Astyanax mexicanus: one gene and its partner. The protein of the gene in region 1 binds, or shares a complex with, the protein of each later gene. Links are inferred from orthologs where the notes say so. Each region holds a gene or a part of one and is shown on either strand. Other genes may lie near its edges.

Region 1 (11,235 bases):
TCCGATCAGGCGCTGTCCACTGGGTATGGCATGGCGTTGCAAAATGGAGTGATAGCCTTCCTTATTCAGAATCCCTTTTACCCTGTACAGATCTCCCACCTTACCAGCACCAAAGCAACCCCAGACCATCACATTACCTCCACCATGCTTAACAGATGGCGTCAGGCATTCTCCAAGCATCTTTTCATTTGTTCTGCGTCTCACAAACGTTCTTCTTTGTGATCCAAACACCTCAAACTTGGATTCATCCGTCCACAACACTTTTTTCCAGTCTTCCTCTGTCCAATGTCTGTGTTCTTTAGCCCATCTTAATCTTTTTCTTTTATTAGCCAGTCTCAGATATGGCTTTTTCTTTGCCACTCTGCCCTGAAGCCCAAAATCCCGCAGCCGCCTCTTCACTGTAGATGTTGACACTGGTGTTTTGCGGGTACTATTTAATGAAGATGCCAGTTGGGGACCTGTGAGGCGTCTGTTTCTCAAACTAGAGACTCTAATGTACTTATCTTCTTGCTTAGTTGTGCAACGCGGCCTCCCACTTCTTTTTCTACTCTGGTTAGAGCCTGTTTGTGCTGTCCTCTGAAGGGAGTAGTACACACCGTTGTAGGAAATCTTCAATTTCTTAGCAATTTCTCGCATGGAATAGCCTTCATTTCTAAGAACAAGAATAGACTGTCGAGTTTCAGATGAAAGTTCTCTTTTTCTGGCCATTTTGAGCGTTTAATTGACCCCACAAATGTGATGCTCCAGAAACACAATCTGCTCAAAGGAAGGTCAGTTTTGTAGCTTCTGTAATGAGCTAGACTGTTTTCAGGTGTGTGAACATGATTGCACAAGGGTTTTCTAATCATCAATTAGCCTTCTGAGCCAATGAGCAAACACATTGTACCATTAGAACACTGGAGTGATAGTTGCTGGAAATGGGCCTCTATACACCTATGTAGATATTGCACCAAAACCAGACATTTGCAACTAGAATAGTCATTTACCACATTAGCAATGTACAGAGTGTATTTGTTTAAAGTTAGGACTAGTTTAAAGTTATCTTCATTGAAAAGTACAGTGCTTTTCCTTCAAAAATAAGGACGTTTCAATGTGACCCCAAACTTTTGAACGGTAGTGTGTATATATATATATATATATATATATATATATATATATATATATATATATATATATATATATATATATATATATATATATAAACAAATAATTTCTAAAAGGATATGCATGTTTTACAAAACAAAAAGAATAGAAAGTCAGAAGAGAGATTATATTGAACAGTAAAACAAGGAACTTACTGCGAGAGCTTTGGAAAGTCTTGTGCGGAAGTCATTCAGAACAATTGTGACAATATCCTGGTGGGGAATGTAGGCATAACCACCTCTCAGGAAGACTTTCCTCGTCCGTATTAAATCCAAGGCATCTTGGAAAGGGACCTGCATCAATGTACAATATAAAATGATTGGCAGTCTTTGTCAATATTGTGGCTCTGCTTAAATTGCATATACATATACTACATAATAAACAGAAGTGTTGTGTATTAAAACCCTGTTGGATAGAACGCAAAGGGTACAGGGGAGAGGCAGTGAAAGTGTGCAAACAAGTAGTTTAAGTTTATTTTTACACATTCTATTAAATCACGTATGCTTGGTATCAGTTTAAACAAACACTGTTTTTAATAGTAACATTAGCTAAGCTACCAAAGGTTGTTTATTTTTGTGTAAATTCCATTCACATGGGACTTGATTAGTAATGCTAAGGTAAATGTATAACTAAAACTACACTGTTGTGATAAATGTGTGACTAGCACTGCTGAAATTAATTCATAATTAGAACTGCACTAAGAGACAAAAGTACTGTTGGTATGTCTACTGGGATATTTTCAATAGTAAGAAAAATGTCAAAATGAAAACCTGTGAAATCTTTCAGCCAAATGTTTTCAAATATTTCAAGTATTTTCATTTTTTTTTCATTTAAAGCAAATCAGTAACTCTGTATCTCAGAAACAGACTAAACTGCTTGATTACTGTAAGATGGAAAGAATCTGAATTTTGGTCTTACCTTGTAGAAATCCTGCTCCACAATAGTGATTCCACTAAAACCAAAAGTGGAGTTTATGAGCTGATCTTTCAGATTCATCTTTTCATCCGCACTTAACTGTCAAAGGGAGAGAATGCAAGCAACTTACAAACATAGATCAACATAACAGAAAGCAAACATCAGAGTACAAGCACAAAAAATGACCGAGAAGAACACATGCTATAACATATTGCAATAACAAATGATTATTGGTTGTTGCCATAATAAGCACCATAAATACATGTAAAATTAGCGACTGCTCATGGACCTCATGAATTAAAGGATGACCACATTGTTAACATGTAGAATATCGATATCCAAGCTTTGAGGAAATATTATTATTGCTAGTTCACCAAGTTTACAAAAACTCTGATATTTAGCCAATAAAATATAGACTAAGAGAATAATAAAGTATTTCCATGGTCCCCCCTAAAGCGCTTTAGCTTTAATACACCATATTTATGGGCATTTAAAACCCCCTACAGACATAATAAAGTCAGCCTCCTCATGAAAACAGCAGGTGCCATTTATCCATCAGTGAGCATTTAGCTCCACCTGCTGTTCAAACACACACATGCTTTTTCTTTACAGCACAATATTCTTAAAATCAGGTCTGAGGGCCTGTGTATTAAGTGTGTTTATCAGGTTAGATTCGTCACAGGAACAAATAATAAAGATTATCACAGCTTTCAAAATCAAACCTAAAATTAGCTAATACCTGATGAACTGTTCAATCAAGCACAAAATAAAATGCTTACCGTGTCATATTTCAGATTATTTTTATGCAGAAACTCAGTCTTATACTTGGAGCTGAGGTCATTGAAACGGTGGCGAAAAAGGTCCATTTCCTGCTGGATAAACCACCGTCTGAGATCCTCCCTAAAAAAAAGGTTAGTTTAGTTTCTTTCGGTTTTTCAAAAAAAAAATAAATAAATAAATAAAATAAAGGAACTGGATTTGTGTTGGTTTTATATGCATTTGTCCACATCTCCACTATAAAAACAGTGCACTACATCGTACATTTAGATTCAAAATATGTTTAGTATTGCAATGGTTTTGCAATAGCAATGGGATTGCAAATAGTATTGCAATCTCTACAATCTCTTGTCCCTCTTAGTTTATCTTAATTGGATGAAGGACAGGACAAAAATCTAGATATAATATTAATAGAATTTGTGACAATTTTTTGAAAAGGTCACACAAAAGGGCAAAATAACTTAAAACCTGGGGGGGGGGGGGGCACATTTGGGGCACTACGCATCCCTACAATTCAGTTATATTATTTTTACTGTGATTTAAAGATATATATTTATTATATATTTTATTTCTATATATTTTAGTTTCTATTTCTGCATATATCTTATGTGTTTAAGTTGTTCAACATCTCTGCCTTAGTTCATGTGAAGTGGCAGCTATCAAATGATTTAAGTGGCAATTCAGAATGACCAAAGTGTTAAACATAGGATGGAAACAGAAATACTGAATGAAGCATTAAGATTAAGACCCAAGTACAAGTACCTTTATGGAAAGAAAGAAAAAGGGGGGAACAAGGGGAACACTTACGTTTGGCAATATGCCAGGCGCAGAATAAAATGAGAGATGTGGTCTTTCCTTCGCTTCTCATATTCAGATGGTCCAACCTGACTTTTGGTAAAACTTGCCTCATCCTAATATAGAGAAACAGTGAACTTTAAACAACTACCATTACAACAGGGTAACAAGTTCAGTAAAATGAATAACAAATCAAATATAAACATTTTGCCACTGCAGCAAAGCAAGACCTAAAGATTAAGCTACTCCAGAGTACAAACAATATCAGGTAACATTTCTCAAAAGTAAATCTATCCAAAGCCAATTTTTTCCTTGTCTAAAAGACAACCATTGTAAGCAGATTTAATAGCTTTTAAATCACAGTGTGAGGAACCTTTATGTATCAGCTAAATCTAAATGCTAAAAGTGAAAAATAGAACATTTCCTTACCACTTCTGCTTTGTGTGGGAAATTAAGGTTTGAGATTTCAGCGTGAAGTTTCTTGGTGTACTGCTCCGTTGTTTTCACATAGCTGACACCAAGGTTCTCCACAGTCTTCAACACTTTAGATGGGAAAATAAAAAAAATAATTAGACAAAACAAATGTAGGACATGGACAATGAGAAGCGATGACCAGGAGCTGTGGTCTCGACTTACATTTCAGCCTCTCCACTGCAAAGGTCTCAAACTCGCTGAGGGATATGTTCTCCAGAGGAGGCTGCACATACAGCTGCAGACAGTGGCTGTAGAGATCATTCTGAGAGTGAACTGCAAGCTTCCTCCTTCTGCCTGAGAACTGCATGGTCTCTTTCTGAGCAAAGAAAAACAGCCCATTTTATTTTCACTAGTTTTAACATCTGATGCCTTCTGCTAGGTAACTGTCAATTAGAAAGTATCTGTACACTTTATGAACACCTTATTCATTAATTTCTTTCAAAATCAAGGCTGGTGTGGGCAGATAGCTGGACAGTATTAGGTGTGTGTTTAAAGTAACTGTTAGTTCACATGTTTGGCTGCTTTCTTAAAAATTTAGCATATCCCATAAGACCTCAGACCCAGCTCTGAATACTAACCCAAAATGTAAAACAAGTTAAATTAATTGTTGCTCCAGTACCCTTTAAAACATGATTAAACCATGTCATAACCTACATTTTAACATTTTGTCCTAGAAATGGTGTCAGAATGTGTCATATGGGAAGAAAACAGTTCAATAAAAATAAAAATCCATATCGTGATATCGCAATGTTATTGAAAGAAGTCCATTTTGTTTCTTCTGCATATTTTTGCTCTTTACTGTACACTTTTAATAGCTTGTTCGCAGTTTATACTCATGCACTACATAACTACAAGTCATTTATACTAAACAAACTCTTAATATGTTGTTACATCACAATTTCAGCCTTAAAAAACGTAGTAATGTGCCCTTAAATCTTAAGTCACCCTGAAGTCACTGTTAACCCATATTTTAACCACATAATGTAGCTCTTTATATCAGCTAACCTACACAAACAGGCGACTCATTCAAAGCTAACTATCTAAGCTGGTAGTTACTTAATTAGTTAGTTAGCTGGCTGGCTAGCCGAGCTATACAGCCAATAATACCAGTAAACGCTAGTTTAAAGCTAGTTATCTAGGTTAGAGTTACCCGCTAGCTAACCTTAGGTTAGCTGGTTACCGTATCCGAGCTACAATAAGCGCCAGTTACACAACACAGCTTTAAACAGCCTACTAGCGCTTCTCCCCAAGTGTAAAATAGTCCTCACAGTAAACACTGCTCCCGCGGCGCCGTTAAAGTCTTTAAAACGGTTAAAAACATTACCTTTACTTTACAATAACAAACAGCCCGCCGCCGAGTCTCTTCCTGTCGCGCGAGTCCCGCCAACAGCCTGATCCGAACTAACGGCGCGAAAATGACGCGAGAGCCACAACGCACCAATCAGAGCAGCGCTCGAGCCGCCCCGCTCCGCTGCACTGAAATGAAACAGCGGCGCCATGTGTTCAAACCCTGCAGTGCAGCAGAGAGAGAGGAACCAGAACTGTGTTGACAATGGTTCACTCTTTACCTCAAGTTAACTCAGGTTATTCCATCAAGATGACAATGCCAGGGCTGAAATTGTGAAAGAGTGCTTTAGGGAGCATGAGATCATCATTTTCACACATTGATTGTTCACCACCAGAGTCCAGACCTTAAACCTAGTCAGAATCTTTAGGATGTGCTGGAGAAGACTCTACCATCATCAATGCTGCAAGATCTTGGTGAAAAATTAATGCAACTCTGGATTGAAATAAATTTTATGACATTGCAGAAGCTAAACTTTATGATTTCAGAAACAACCGTGTGAACTTGAAAAGGCTGAAAGATCCAACCAAGCAGAACTTGGTTCCAGAACTCTGTGTTACTTTCTGTCCCAATTTTATTTTACACTTTATTTTATACGTTGTAACTTTTCTTTGGATTTATATTTTATATTTTTATATCTATTTGCTAATGTAACATGGTCAGATTTAAGTCAATATCAGGCCAACAAATGCCCCCCATCAGCATCAGGCCAGGAAAAGCCCACCAGAAAAAAAGTATATTGGCCTTCTTACTGGTCAATTTGATATTTGTCCACTAGAGGACAGCAGCGGTTTTTCCTTTTATATAAATAAACTGAAAACACGCAGATACTTTTAATATTAATTAGATTTTATGGTGATTTGCAAAATATATATAGTAATCATTTAACCAGATCATTTCAGGCTTATTTTGGCATTTAAACATCTGGCGTATAAAGCATATTCCGCAGGTAATTACATGCATAAATAATATATGTAATTAAAAACATTAATAAAAACTGAGAAACACTGAGAAAATAGCATTTTTTACCTGTCCTCACTCCCTAACTATAAACTTAAAATCCTTCAGAGGCTCCAAATCCCATTCCATCCCATGTTTTAATATATGTATATTAACAAGACCTAATTAAGCTCGCTCATTAGTTTTTTTTTTGTATATTTAATCTTATTGTAACTAGGACTATGACTAATCTCAACACTGCCCTGTTACCTAAATTAATTATTAGATTTTAATGGTTTATATTTAAAATACAGATTTTGGGAAAATCAGTAGAATGTGCTCATTGTTTTAATGGCCGCCATTTAGCTTTCTTTATGTTTTTGATAATTCTATGCTAAAAACTCATTTCCGATACTTTAAAAGTGACAGGAATGAGTGCTAGTAACAGGAGTGAGTTCCAGTAACAGGAATGAGTATTGTACCGTGGTTTATTCCCAGATAGCCAGCGACTTTGGCCCGGACTCGTTTCTAAGTCGGCACTGCTGGTTTAGAGTCGCAAGCAGAAAAATACTTCTGGCCCACAGCTGGCCCAGTGTCACTTTCTGACTGTTCTACATCAGTGTCACTGAGCAGTCGTTTTGGTGCTGGTGAAGGACTGACGCACCTGACCTGTTGATTATCTGAACACAGGTGTGTACTGGCTCAAATACGGCAGACGACCCTGTACCAGCACTGTTATAGTACACACACACGCACACGCACACGCACACGCACACACACACAGCCTGTTATAGTACTGCTTCACACACACACACACACACACACACACACGCACGCACGCGCACACACACACACACCCAGAGAGTCTAATTCTATTGGCCACATTTTTCTACATGGACTGGATAAGCTGTGTGTGTGATCACGTTTAGAGTGATCTAGGTGATTTTAGGCTTGTTCGAGATGCGGCTGCGCCTCGCCTTGCTGGTCAGCGAGAGCAGCCGCGTGCAGGTGGGCGGGGTGGAGGAGCGGAGAAGTCAGGTCGGACAGTCTCCACCTGCAGCCCACGTGAACAACACAGGATCTCGCGATGAATGCGCTGTTTGTTTACTTCTGGTGTGAATAAAATCGCAAAAGTGAAACAGAGATAACATGAGTGTTATTAAATTGAGATAAAAACTTGTTATAAATATTCACAAAACATACTGTCATGTTACAGATGTATTGTGTAGTACTAAATTAATAATGGGATTAAATTTTTATTTGCAGACCAGCTTTTCTGTCCTTTGTTCTTGGAAATAAATACATCATGCTCATTTACACAGCTTTAATTGTTTAGCGCATTTCACAACACAAAAACAATATGTGGAGTGTCCAAATAAGTGAGCAGTGTTTTTAATAATAAACCATATTTTATATGCGTTTATAAAAACTGAAGTAAATAAGTGCTTATGTGCAGCGGTCAGGACGGGTTAAAAAAAATCATTAATTTAGTTGCCAATCAGAAGCTAGAGCTTTAGTTGGAGTAGCCAATCAGAAGCTAGAGTTTAGCTTGTTAAGGCGGAGCTAAAATATAGCTTGAGAAGAGCGCGAGAGGGACAGAGACGGTTACGACTTCCTGGGCGGGCTGGAGGGAGGAGAGATGGACGGAAGTGACGCAGGAGAGGGGAGTGAGTCGGACTGGTTAGGGAGTAGGAGCGGGAATTGGGGTGGTGGAGGACCGTGGCAAACTGTTCAGAAAAAAAAAGGTAGGCGTCTGTCAGATGATAGAGAATCAGCTGGAAATGAGAATGGTGCTGAGCAGGTTAAGCGTCGGAAGGAGGAGTATTTGGTGCTTATAAAATTTGATACTGACTCTGGGACTCCGCTAAATCCAATTAGATTGACTACTGAGTTAAAGAAAGCTTTAGGTGACCTGGCTGGAGCTAAGGTTCTGAGGGGGGGGCAGATTCTGATTACCTGTAAGGATGACCGGCAACGAGACAAAGCCTTGAAACTTAAGAGCTTGGGAGGTAGGAAGATTACGACAAGTTTGTTTAGGGAGAGGACGAGGATGAGAGGAGTAATAACTGGAGTTCCACTTGATTTAACAATGGAGCAGATTAAGAAAACCCTGACTGGTGGTAATGTGATTGAAGCTGTCAGATTAAAGGGGTTCAGAGATGGAGCACAGTCAGAAAGCTTGTCGGTAATGATTCAGTTCGAAGGAAATTCTTTACCGGCGAGAGTATTTCTGGGATACATTAGCTTCCCGGTGAGGATATATGTCCCTCCACCGGTGAGATGCTATAATTGCCAGAGGTATGGGCATATAGCCTCTGTGTGTAGGTCACGAAAGAGATGTGGGGTTTGTGGCGGTGAACACGAATATGGGCAATGTGGAGAGGGTGTTAAGCCTAAGTGCTGTAATTGCGGAGGAGATCACAAGGCAGCGTATGGGGGCTGTGAACAGAAGAAGAAGGCTATGGAAGTCCAGAATGTTAGAGCTGTAAGGGGGTTGTCGTATGCTGAAGCGTTGAAAGAAGTGGAAAAGGGAAGAAGTATGGAGTCGAGTCCCCCGAGTCAGGTTCTAAGGACAGCAGACCGTGATAGATCAGCTATGAACCGGCAGGCCCGCAGTGTTAATACACCAGACATGATGATTGTTGAAAAGGCAAAGTTCATTATGTTTATAGCAGAAGTAGTTAATTGTACGGCCCAGACAGGTAGTAGAACTGAAAAAATTAAGATCATTGTTCGATCTGCAGAACGTTATTTGGATATTAGGGGTTTGACTTGGGAGTCAGTCAGTGAGGGCCTGGCTGGGAAAGTAGTTTCCTCCCAGCTAGGTGATGACTAGTGATGGTTTGGTGATTTTACAGTGGAATGCTAGGAGTCTTATTGCTAATGGACAGGAGTTTAAGCATTATGTGGCTCATAGTCAACCGGTGCCTGATGTGATCTGTATACAGGAAACGTGGCTGAAACCCCACTTAAGTTTTACACTTTGTGGATATACTATGGTGCGGAGGGATAGGGCTCATAGTAATGGAGGAGGTGTAGCGATCTTTTTAAAGGAAGGAATAGTATTCCGATCTCTCCCTATTAGTGGGAATCACGAATCTCTTATGGTGGAGATATGGAGCAAATGTGGAAAGTTCACATTGGTGAATTTTTATAATCCATGCGAGAAAATCACTGTGGAGATGTTAAATAGAATTACTGGTTTGGGATATCGTAAAGTGGTGTGGTGTGGAGATTTTAATGCACATAACACATTGTGGGGCAGCTCATTCACAGATAGTAATGGCCAGGTGTTGGAGGATTTTATGATGGACAATGGTCTTGTATGTCTAAATGATGGTAGTGGTACAAGGTTGAATATAGTAAATAATACAATGTCAGTTTTGGACTTGACTTTTTCTTCTGCTGCTTTAGCAGGGATGAGCAGTTGGGGTGTATGTCAGTCTACGTCTATAGGTAGTGATCATTTTCCTGTTGTCTGTGTTTTTGGTATGGAGGTAAACAGAATGAGGGGGGAATTTTTGAGAAGGTGGAATTTTGATAAAGCAAATTGGGAGAAGTTTTCTGAACTTTGTGATCTGAGGCTACAGAATTTGACAGTTTCTGGAGATGTTGATGAATGTAATAAAAAATTGTGTGATATTTTATATAGTACTGCTGAAGAAGCTATTCCGATTAAAAAGCCTCATCAGAAGAAAAAGGCAGTTCCTTGGTGGACGGAGGAATGCTCTAAGGTAGTGAAAATACGCAATAGAGCACTCCAAAAGGTACGGAAAACTTTACTGTTTAGTGATTTGCTGGATTACAGAAGGGCGCAGGCAGTAGTTCGAAGAACAGTTAAAGTAACAAAGAGAGCCTACTGGAGGTCATTTTGTAGTATGATCGGGCCTGACATACATGTGGGGGATGTATGGCACATGATTAAAAAAATGAAAGGAATAAGGAAAGGGACTCTAATACCTGTGTTGCAAGATGGGGGCAAGGAGGCAGTTACTGACACTGAAAAGGCAGAGATGTTAGCCCAGGAGTTTACCAAAGTGCACAGCTCCGCTAACTTAAGTGAAACTATGCTACTGTGCAGGAAGAGAATTCGGCTGCAGAATCCTGGGGCATTGTGTCGGAGAGAAGTATTTGGCAGTGTTTTGGACTCTGCGTTTTCTTTAAGAGAATTAAAGGTGGCTATTGACAAATCTGGTCAGACATCTCCGGGAAAGGATGACATATGTTATGATATGTTTAGACATTTATCAGACTCTTCCCTTTCTGTAATTCTTGAATTTTATAACAATCTGTGGATGCTGGGTAAAATTCCCTCGGCATGGAAATTGGCGGTAGTGGTACCTATTGGCAAACCTGGCAAGGACCTCTCTAGTCCCACAGGATATAGGCCCATCTCTCTTACATCGCATTTGAGCAAGTTGATGGAGCGTATGGTAACTGACAGACTCACTTTCCATCTTGAGAGCCGACGTAGTTTAGCATATTATCAGAGTGGCTTTCGTCAAGGAAGGATGACCATGGATCCTGTATTATGTTTAGAATCAGATGTACGAAAAGCACAATTGTACAAAGAAGTGGTGGTGGCTGTGTTTTTAGACATTGAAAAAGCTTATGACATGCTGTGGACAGAGGGTTTAATGATAAAATTGGGTAAGATAGGAATTGGGGGAAGGGTGTATAATTGGGTATTAGATTTTTTGAGTGAAAGGGCGATACAGATAAGGGTGGGAAATGCATTGTCTAAAGTCTATCGCATAGAAAATGGAACTCCTCAGGGTAGCGTTTGTAGCCCTCTGTTGTTCAACGTCATGATAAATGACATTTTTTCATCTGTGGGCGCAGGAATT
Region 2 (10,694 bases), on another chromosome or scaffold:
TCTTAGGTCAATTGGCACAGAAATCCGGCCTAGAGATACAATTATAAATCATAAATGATACATTCATCCCGAGAACAATCAAACAGTTCAGGCAAGAGATATATATTATAAAAAATGAAATATACTTCAATAACTATAATAATTCTCTTACCTGTTTTAGGATGGACGCTGAATGGACTTTTCAGTAAATGGTTGACTCCTTTGCTGACGTTGACATCCAGGCGTGGGTAACAGTACTGTAGCATGATCTCCTTATCAAAGTACTGACCGCCTTTCTTACTGGTGGCCTGCTCCATTAGAAACATGTATGACCAAGTATTTTTAAACATTTTAAACATTCCAGTTATGTACGCTGCATTTAGGCCTGTCACAATAATTCAATTATCAAACTATTGTACAAAAAATAACATTCCAGCCTTAAAATTTGAATATTCTTTTAATAATTAAAGGTGTTTCGCTTTTTAAAAGGGTGCAATTGCATTATTATGCAGTTATATTATCCTTATATCAGTGGCATAATATGATTTTACAAACAACAAATTACTCTGACAGGCTCATTTACCCTTTTCTGATGCACCAGGGTCTTCAGCCTCTCCCAGCGCTTTGTTGGATTTTTCTCACTCTGATAATGAAGCAGCAGATCCTTTCTGACATGTACATTTATAACGTTAAAGAAACAGCACCACATTAAGCCCTTAGGGTTTCTGAAGTATTATTTTCTCCCATATTTCAAGGTTGCTCTACAGTCAGTTTACTTGACAGTAAACAAAGCATAGTGAACAATGTACTACAACACCAGACTAGTTAGCAAGGGAACCATTCCAGACACAGCACAAAGGATATCTTCTGGCAGCAGGTTGAGTACTTTGTCTACGCCCTCCTTGCTGCTTAGCAGCTCCTGTCCCACAATGGCGTACTGAAGGAAGTAATGCTCCACCACTGAGAGAGACTGGCTGTTTAACAGAAAATGATACACATTAGAAGCAGAATCAAAAGTAAATAGACTATTTAGGTACATTTAAATGTATAAACACGTTTAAAGGATATTTTAAACGCTGGTTAACGCAAGATTTCAGAATATTGCCTGATGATGCAAATAGTAGAGAAGGCTAAAAAAAAAAAAAGCTTTTTTGAACAAATAATCGATTATGTTTGCATGCATATGCAGACTGAAAAACTAAAAGAAATCAGAATAAGAGAATACATGTTATGAATAGATTATTGTGAATGTAAATGTGCTCAATGGTTTGCACTGATGGCATCCATAGCCAGTAAGTGTTGGCATTCAGAAAAGCACTAGCACAAAAAGTATATATATAATAAGGTTATTGCCTTGCTAGAATAAACCAGTCTTTCTAACGAAAGTCTTCCTTTACCTGATGAAGGGATGAATTGGATCGGACAGCACAACTTTCTTCACTGTCTCCTCGCCACCCTAAACATATGCATGCAAAGTCAGTTTTTGGAACAATGTCCATTTTAAACAAATCCTTATCAATTCCAGAACTAAAGAAACCTCTTTAATAAAAATATTACTTCTAAACATCCATCAGGAAAAGTTAGAATAGATAAGAAATTTAATATTTAGCAACAACAGGGACAAAATATTGCAAATATACTGTAATAAGGTCATGTGGGTGCCAGCAAGCAAACATTTACTTTGTAAGTATTTATTTTGATTATTTACAACAAATTGAAAGTGTTTAACTAAAGATTTAGTGGAGCCAAACATGTATTAACTGTGTAGAAGAACTATGTTGGATTGGTACAGTTCTAAAATCTACTTGTTTTTAGCATATCCCAAGCTGCTGTAAAATGTGAACTAGTATATAGTCATTGTCCAATGAAAAACATGTTAATCTTAATTTTTGACAATTTTTAGTTTACTACTTAATTTGAACACACAAACTGTGCCTTACATTGTGTCAACATTTCTTTATGATTGGACCAAGAGAAATTCTCTAAAATGCCCTGACATAACATATTTTTACATTGACTTCCATTAAAAGTTAAGATGGTTTTATCTGCTTTTTTGGAGAAACATGTTTTTCATTGGACAGCAACAGTAAACATTACACAATCATTGACAAATTACAAGTACATGTTTTAACTGCAGTTTGTGTGGATCAATCTTTGACCCTTTGTGTTTCTGTATTCTATAAACACACATCTTGGGATGTATTATTCAACACATACTACCCTGCTTACTGTTTATGCTATAATTGATGTATAATTGATATGGTTTTAATGCTGAGATGTAAGTATTGTTTTTTTTTTTTTTTTTTTTTCTCACCTTGACTAAACTGAGGTACTCTGCCACAGCGGAACGAGCAGCAACTGAGAGCTTCCTGGCAGCTTCATCACACACCCAACAGTGAACGCCTCTCCTGCCAGAGTACACCCAGAGGAGGTGCTGGAAGCCAAAATCCTCTAATCCACAAAAACATAAAATATACATTGTGTAGAATTGTTTTTCCACGTCACAACTACAGAGACAGTTCTGCTTTACTTGTTGTATGGTATGAGAATGTGTGCAGTACATTAGATAGTAGTGTTTAGCCTATAAGACAAAGAAAAGACAACTTTTACCTCTCAGTGCTCGGTCTAGAATTCGAATGGCAATGGTCATCAGTGTCCAGCACTTACTGCAAATATCTGCAGCACTGAAAATAAAAGTAAATAAATTAAATACCATATAAACACACAGTAAAAGTTATAAAGAAAAAGGTTTTTCATATAAAATAGTAGGTAGGCTGAGGTACCTGCAGCAGCTTCTGACATCATCATAGTCAGTCATATCAATATCAAACACCAGCTCCTTTTCCAGGGCCTGAAACGTTCCAGATTTCACCGTGTTGTGTTGACTGGGCTGTCAGTCACAGAAACACACAGAGAGTAAGATAGAATAATTACACATGCTTAACAACAGGACATTGCACATAGTGAAAGAATCATTAAGTCTCCTCACCCTGTGGCTGTAGACAGCTCCGATGTCGATCTTGTAGGGGTTCATTTTCTGCATCTCTTTCTCCAGTTCGTTCTGTGTGCTGAAAGACTGGTATCTAACATAGATATCATCTTTCAGGGTGAACGAGAACTCACGGTTCTGGAAGTAGTTCTTGGTCACTGGTGAATAGAACATTCACAGTGTTAAGATATAAAGAATGAACTATTAGCTAGACGGGTTATGTAATATGGGATAAGCATGATACTTCTTTGATATTTCTTTCTATTAAATACGCTTATTCAAAGAATCTTAATATAGCATTACAAACGTACAAATAATGACCAAATATTTTGTGGACACCGCTTTGAATGAATTTAACTGCTTTGGCCTAAAAGAACCCAAGGTGACATATCACAGACCCTTTAAAAGGTGTGAAAAGTTTATTACAGAACTTTGTCCTAAATCATGAAGTCCCATAAAGTGACATCTACTAAACATCCTGAGAGAATCATTACAGGACAGTGTGTGAATCTGTGTTCGTTTAAGTGACCTTATTTACAGAATGTAGGTGTACTGGGTTAGTCCTTAAGATAAAAGCAGCTATTTATAAAAGTGTATGTTTTGCTTTTACTGATCTGTTCCAACAAGTTTAACAATTCAATTGCTTTAATTTTTTTTTTTTTATGTTCTATATGACTAGTTCTGATAAGATTTCAAGAACAAAATGTTAAAATACATGTTATGAAATTGCTGTTGTGTCATTTTTGTTACATCAAAATTTAACCCAAAAAAAACATTGTCATGTTCCCACAAAAAGACAAATACTCACTAATTTTATCTTACTCGGTTTTAAATTTGGCTTTAATATGAAAAAAAAAAAAAGACTGTTAATAGAATAAGCCTGTCTGATGCGAATAAACATAAACCTATTGGCACTATGTCGTAGATCTGTGTGCCCAGGCATGATGGTGCTCCATCCTGTACTTTTGGGATGAGGTGGAGTGGTGACCATCCACCATCCTGATCTCACTAAAGCTGCTGTCACTGGATGCAATCAACCATCAGAGCAATACTCTGAAATGTAGTAACGTTAGAAAGTTTCAAAGTAAAGAATGAAAGAAGGAGACCATTTAAAATTGTGAGTTTCTTTGATTTTACCGAATTGAAAACCTCTGAAGTATAATCAAGTGGAAGATGGATGATCACAAGCCATCAAACCAAGCTGAACTTCTTGAATTTTTGCACCAGGAGTGGCATAATGTTATCCAAAAGCAGTGTGTAAGACTGGTGGAGGAGAACATGCCAAGATGCATGAAACCTTGGATTAAAAACACAGGTTTATTCTACCAAATATTGATTTTTGAACTCTTAAAACTTGTTTTCTTTGCATTATTTGAGGTCTGAAAGCTCTGCACATTTTTTTTTTAATTCAGTCATTTCTCACTTTCTGAAAATAAAAATACAGAGAGACAATTTTACATTTGGGACCCAGCCTTTGTCTACACTGCTCAATGAACAACGAGATAAGAGTTTTGCAACAAAAAGCTGGGTTATTAAGAACAGACTTAATGAGCCAGTAGTTCACATTATAAAGTTAAAAGAGAGGAGCAGCTTTTTAGTTTCTGAACTTCACTTTCTTGCCTCTAAGCTGCAGCCAAAGAGTGTTTATGTTATATTTACAGCGTTGTTAGTTTAGGACTAGACACTACTCTTATTCGGCTTAGAAAGGCAGTCGGTCAGTTACTCTATCTAGTAAGTAGGTTAGTTTGCGTAAACTAGTTATCCTACTGGTGATCCTCACTGAGATTATATTAAATTATAAAGATTAATGTACTCACCACCTCCGTAGCTCAGCCACCGGTAATACTGTGAGAAGGGGAAGAGCCGGCGGTAATAGAGCGGCAGTAGATCAGGTAAACAGGCAGGATCATAGTCTGAGTTTGACATTATTATTATTTATATGTTAAAGCCGCTGTCACTGCTCTAGCTGTATCTGTAGTACACACTGCAAACCTGAATCCGAGCGCAGCGCGGGAAACCCGGGGAAATGACGAAGCGCCTCCCTCGCCTGTCCCGCCCGGAGTCCCGACCGCTTCAGCTCAGGAGGATCTGCTGCCCTCTGGAGTCCTGGCTGACATCAACAGCCATGTCTGAGTTTCTCTGCAGTTATTATAAAAGCTATGAACATATAACATTTCTATATAAAACAGGAGTATTAATTGGGTAAAAAAAATCTGACACAATAAAAAAAACTCTTGAAACGTTCTTGAAAGCTTTTGCTATTTATATTTTTTATTTTGTTCATACCAAATCAAAGACTTCATAAGTTTATTTAGTTTCTATTTATGAAACTATAATACTTAAATTATTTTATTCTTATTTTGTTACAGAGTAGCATATTCTTGAAATTAGTTTAATCATTGTCAGTGTTTTGTCATGTCACCAAATATATTTTCACAAAAATACCCTGAAATATTGTGATATAATCTTAGGGTCGTATCGCCCACCCCTAGTATAAATGATTTAATATCTAATGTAACCTGACAATAGCAGTGTGTGTACTAATCTTAATTTACAAAAGATGGTAGGTTAACTAAGCTAACTACCTAGGTTACCTAGTGTAAAATAGAGCCTTTTTTGTAAATAAATAATACAACACAGAGATAAGAAGAAGCTCTAAATAATCATAAATTAGCTGATTTACCCACTGTTTAGTTTTGTCAGATTTCTTTATTTGTTTTTGCTCCACAGTTCCTTGTACATTCAACTACGGGCATGAAGGGGAAATAACCTCAATAAATTAGTTGCAATCTTGTAAATAGTGGATCTTGTAAATACCCTGGACGATGTTCAATATATACAGAGTGATGATAAATGTTGAGATGCCTTAAGATGTGTGAGAGTGTCACACTTTGGTATTTTAAACAAGCTTTCAGTCTTTTCAAATTTTCTAATGTATGGTTGGATTAAATTGTGAGATTTTTTGTGATTATTTGTTGTGCAGGGCCATACTGGGACAGTGGTTCAGGGCAGAAATGCTGACAGCCCACACACATTCAGTCTGCCCCCCTATTAATTACCACCCAACAAACTTTTTTTTTTTTTTTTGCACACCACTGTAACCTTATTATGGACCCTAAGACGTGCAAGAGAAATGCTAATTTCTGTCACTCACTCCACATAAGTTCTCTACACTATATTGGCAAAAGTATTGGGACACTTGCACATTCACTGTTATTTAGCCTACACCAATTCATGTTAGTAAATATGATATTAAGTCATTTATTACTTTCGTATTATATTGGAGAATCCTTGGTCAACTCTTCAATGCTTTAACCTTCATATACATTTCCATGTACATAGTTTTGACCCTGGTAGCAAAGAACAGTGAATATACATTTATTGGTACCACTTTAAAATAAGACTACCTTTATAAAGGGTTTACAATTAGTATTATTATCAATGGTTACTAATAAGGTTGTAAATGCTTTAAAAAATCATTAATAATCAGTTATAACACATATGTCAGGGTTTCCCCCAGGATTTCCTTGAAGGTGCGGTGGCAGGACCCCCCGGTTGGGAACCGATAATTTATATCACGTTAATGATATCACGATATAACACAATTACACATGTTTCCAGTTATTTTCTTTATTTCCAACTGTCACTGAAAAATGCCCACTTAAAACAAAAAGTTGCAAAAAGTAGGTTTCTTTAAAATAAATCCTTATTGTTCTTTTTTCAGATACGGTAAACGTAAAAGTGTGCAACACAAAATGTTAAATTATACATAACAGAGGAGAAAGGGCACAACAGAATATATATGTATTATTTATTCGCTCTTATCTGTATTAGGTATTTTAAATGTGAGAATGAGTAAATAAAATAAAAAATATTATTGAATTTAATTAAAAATTGTGCTTATTAAAACAGACAAATAATATCTTTAATCTTTAATTTAATTACAATAAAATGTTTACTGGACCGTGAAAACAAATGCATCACAGAGCTGTTCTAGGGTGCCTCTATTCTAGGGCCCTACATCCTTGCTTTATGACAGCTCCAGAAACAGAAACATAGCGTGATTTTCACTCCACCAGGTGAGTGAGCCTGAGTGGACACCTGCGTAAGTTGAAGCTGTTTAATCACTGTTTAATTCATCTCTCTCTCGCGCGCGCGCATTATGTTTCAGTCTCTCTCTCTCTCTCTCTCTCTCTCTCTCTCTCTCTCTCTCTCTCTCTCTCTCTCTCTCTCTCTCTCGCATTATGTTTCAGTCTCTCTCTCTCTCTCTCTCTCTCTCTCTCTCTCGCATTATGTTTCAGTCTCTCTCTCTCGCTATTTACAGGCGCGCTCTCGCTCTCTTCTCTCTCTCTCTCTCGCGTTATGTTTCAGTCTCTCTCTCTCGCTGTGTCCTATACTCACACTCTCTCTACCGATTTCCACCCCCGAAGGGGCAACGCTGATCAAGCGCGGGAAAAACGCCGGGCTCCGAATTTTCACGAAGGGTGGCGGGGAAGAACGAAGGCGTGGCGGACCGCCGCACTGAAATGAACGTGGCGGAAACCCTGTATGTAGAAAGGGCAACAATGACCTGTTGTTTGTCAAATAGTAAACCCACATCCTTCTATAGTGTTGCCCTTTCTACGTATGTGCTATAACTGATTATTAATTATTTTTAAGGCATTTACAACCTAATTTGTAACCATTAATAAACTTATTGTAAACCAATTATAAACCCTTTATAAAGCTAGTCTTATTTTAAAGTGGTACCCATTTATTTTTTGGTTGCATTACATATTTTAAGGTTGATGATAGAGGGGTTTCTGCTTTTAGTTAAAAGGTGTCTCTCACACATAATAATCTTAATATTAATATTTATCATTTAAATGTCCCTTCTACATGGTATAGAAGAGAATGCAAACAAGATGCATTAGCCACAGAATTGGTAATCTGTAATATGGGTAATGTGGGTAATCTATATTTGCTTATTCAGACCTTTAGAGCTCCTATTACATGTACAATATACTTCAAGTCTATTAAAAATTATGACATACTTAAATCTACTTACGTTCGCAGAATATATACAAAAAAGCACTCAAAAGCACAACCTATTGTATTTTAATATATCTTAATTACCATTGAAATATACTGAAGCTGCCGTAAGTTCTTCCAAAATAGTACATTTAGTATGTATTTAAGTACGTATTCATTTTAATGCTAAAATATACTTTTACTATATACTTTTAGAAAATATACTTATATGCATTTTTCTTTAACAAGGATCTCTATTGTAAAAAAAAAAAAGGATTATCAGGCTTAAGTAATATATTGAGCTCCATGTATAAATAAAAGAGACTACGACAAACCAGTAGCAATGTTGCTGTTTCATGTGCAGCTCTGCATTTCAATCACTAGAGGTCAGAGTTTAGTAAAGAAAAGCCTCTCCTGGTCCTTTTTATGGCCTTCTCCTCTTTCTTCTGCCAACCTGCAGTGCAGTGGTTGTAGACACTGGAGTAGCATCAGTAGTGGGGATGTCTGTGACTCCCTGTGAGCAAGTCTCACTCTGTGTGTGTGGTGTGTGTGTTTGGAGAGATGAGTCATGCGTTTCCATAGGGATCATACATCGCTAGCTTTTCTCACATCGCCTCCCTCCCATTGCTCTACACTGATGAGGAGACCTGTGTGTAAACTATGCTCACAAACACTGTGATCTCTCTGTTGTCCTCCTTTTTACAAAGTAATTGTGGTGTTAAAAATCTGACTAACTGCAGTGTCTGTTTCGAGACCTCTAGTACATTTAATAACCTTTAAGCTATCACACTGTTCACTTTCCAAAAAAATCATTCTATAGCATTGGTTATCTCTTTAAGGCTAAACTACACACAGATTGTACACACAGATCCTGCACACTGGTAGGTTGCTGGAATGAATCTGGTTCCATAAATGCTTGATGAAGGCAATAACTGTCGTATTTTTCGCACTATAAGGCGCACCAGATTATAACCCACACTATCAATAAATGTCTATTTTTATAATAAATAATAAATGTCTCTTTTAATACATAAGGCGCATTAAATTATAAGGCTAATTCAGCAGGTGGCGAGACCTGTAAAGCTAAGTTTAGTTAAGTAAACAAAACTGTATTTCTTAAAAAAAATAACAATTTCAGACGAGACAAGTCAACGAGCACTGGTTGTTAATCTACACAGATTTCTCTCTTAAAAACTGTTTATTTGGGTGAGTTAAACACTTCCGTTTATTTACAGTAAGCTTAGATTCACAGATTTCCACTAAAGCTAAAGCATTAGCATTATCGGCTAACCACTAGCGGTTAGCAGCTAATGCTACCCAACAGCGCTACACTGAGGAACCCTGAGTGTTCCGATAAGCCAGGGCGATATTTGCTTATTTATTTGTCCCACATTGCCTGTTTTAACACGGTAAACGTGCAGGCTACAGTCTAATATAACATTACTCACCTCTGAACAGGTAAAAGAACTAGCGCTGTGATGAGCCGCTAATGCTAATGTGCTGCTTCAGCAGTGCTAGCCGGGGTTAGCAGCAGGCTACAAACCGATAATACTCACCTCTGAACGGCCAAATCAGCTAATGCTAATATTGCTGTAGAACTAAACTGAAACTCTTTTATAACGCTGTACTTTAGCGGATTATCTTTACTGCTGCTTTCAACCTGACTGGTAAATTTCATGCATAAGGTGAACTGATGATTTTTGGGAAAATTAAAGGATTTTAAGTGCGCCTTATAGTGCAAAAATTACGCTAAGCTATATGGAGGCAACCGGGCAGGCCAAGGAAGTGTCGCTATATGGAGGAGGCATTATTGTAAAGCCCTTGCTGTGTGTGGGTGAGCATTATCCTGATGAACAATGCCAGTTTGATATATCTGGCTGCAAAATTACGTGCTCATTTCACTGAGCTGTTAGTGTTTCTTGTATCACTACTAGGGGTGTCCCACTGTCAGATATATAGTAATATAACTATGTCAAATGTAATAAAGCACGCTCTGGAATTTAATAATATTATAAAAATGAAAATGACATGCGTACATACAAATTTACATTAGTTAGTAGAGAACTGGGTTATTGATGACAGGGTTAAAGGTAATAAACACTGCCTTCCCACAGAAAAAAAATCCACAAGTTCTATCTGTTTTTGAGCCTTGTCACATTTCCACCCCTTAACAAACACTACTGTTTACGATCAATGTTTTTACTTTACTACATATATATAGTGGTAGTAATGTCATGGCTGATCAGTGCATGTTGTCTATTTCACAGTTAGCAGCATTCAATAGTGTGTTTGTTAGTAAAATGTATAAATGATCAAAAACAGGGATTTTATAAATATGAAATGTTCTTTTTGGTCTACACTCCCATGTTTTGCATAACAATCTAACAATTTTTGATTGATTTGTTTTGAGAGACATGTGTGACCAGTTATCAGTTGGGACCCTTTGACACTAGTTACGGTGGCCGAGAAAGCCCAGCGCAGTGCAAATTGAAAAGCGCTGCAAAAGCACAAAACACATCCATCAAAATTACAACACAGGCGCAGCAAATAGAAAAACGCGCTGCAAAAAGAAAAACATGTTGCAAATAGAAAAACGAGCTGCAAATACAACCACAACACAAACGGAAGTGAGTCACAACACAACAGAATTTTCCCGGGGGACCTTAAAAGGACCTTAAAAATTTCATTCACATATTGCTCTAAAAGTCTTAACACA

What was found. Proteins that work in one complex are often made in the same cells at the same time.
Region 2: the proteins of prim2 (region 1) and prim1 are in contact, whole or in part, in a crystal structure (PDB 5EXR), measured with the Homo sapiens proteins. The link is inferred for Astyanax mexicanus from reciprocal best matches to the Homo sapiens genes PRIM2 and PRIM1. Residues at the interface, in NP_000938.2 of Homo sapiens: Glu165, Ala168, Ser169, Pro171, Ser172, Phe188, Ala189, Leu192, Phe195, Arg196, Gly197, Arg198, Val200, Tyr201, Leu202, Glu203, Asp204, Gly205, Phe206; in NP_000937.1 of Homo sapiens: Lys147, Glu148, Asp149, Phe150, Gly151, Phe152, Ala180, Val181, Gly184, Ile185, Glu187, Tyr188, Ser190, Leu191, Lys193, Lys207, Ile208, His209, Pro210, Ile212, Arg213.

Annotation. Positions count from the first base shown.
Region 1 is NC_064414.1:43,401,554-43,412,788, forward strand, and holds the start of prim2 (DNA primase large subunit), read right to left. Parts: upstream 5,513-11,235; 5' UTR 5,429-5,512; intron 5,393-5,428; exon of another isoform or gene 5,373-5,392; intron 4,421-5,372; 5' UTR 4,412-4,420; coding exon 4,267-4,411; intron 4,173-4,266; coding exon 4,060-4,172; intron 3,747-4,059; coding exon 3,643-3,746; intron 2,959-3,642; coding exon 2,838-2,958; intron 2,158-2,837; coding exon 2,062-2,157; intron 1,437-2,061; coding exon 1,299-1,436; intron 1-1,298. UniProt on the Homo sapiens protein: Regulatory subunit of the DNA primase complex and component of the DNA polymerase alpha complex (also known as the alpha DNA polymerase-primase complex) which play an essential role in the initiation of DNA synthesis.
Region 2 is NC_064420.1:33,009,494-33,020,187, reverse strand, and holds the start of prim1 (DNA primase small subunit), read right to left. Parts: upstream 5,021-10,694; 5' UTR 4,895-5,020; coding exon 4,786-4,894; intron 3,127-4,785; coding exon 2,969-3,126; intron 2,870-2,968; coding exon 2,763-2,869; intron 2,664-2,762; coding exon 2,590-2,663; intron 2,431-2,589; coding exon 2,294-2,430; intron 1,436-2,293; coding exon 1,377-1,435; intron 954-1,376; coding exon 844-953; intron 655-843; coding exon 563-654; intron 288-562; coding exon 152-287; intron 30-151; coding exon 1-29. UniProt on the Homo sapiens protein: Catalytic subunit of the DNA primase complex and component of the DNA polymerase alpha complex (also known as the alpha DNA polymerase-primase complex - primosome/replisome) which play an essential role in the initiation of DNA synthesis.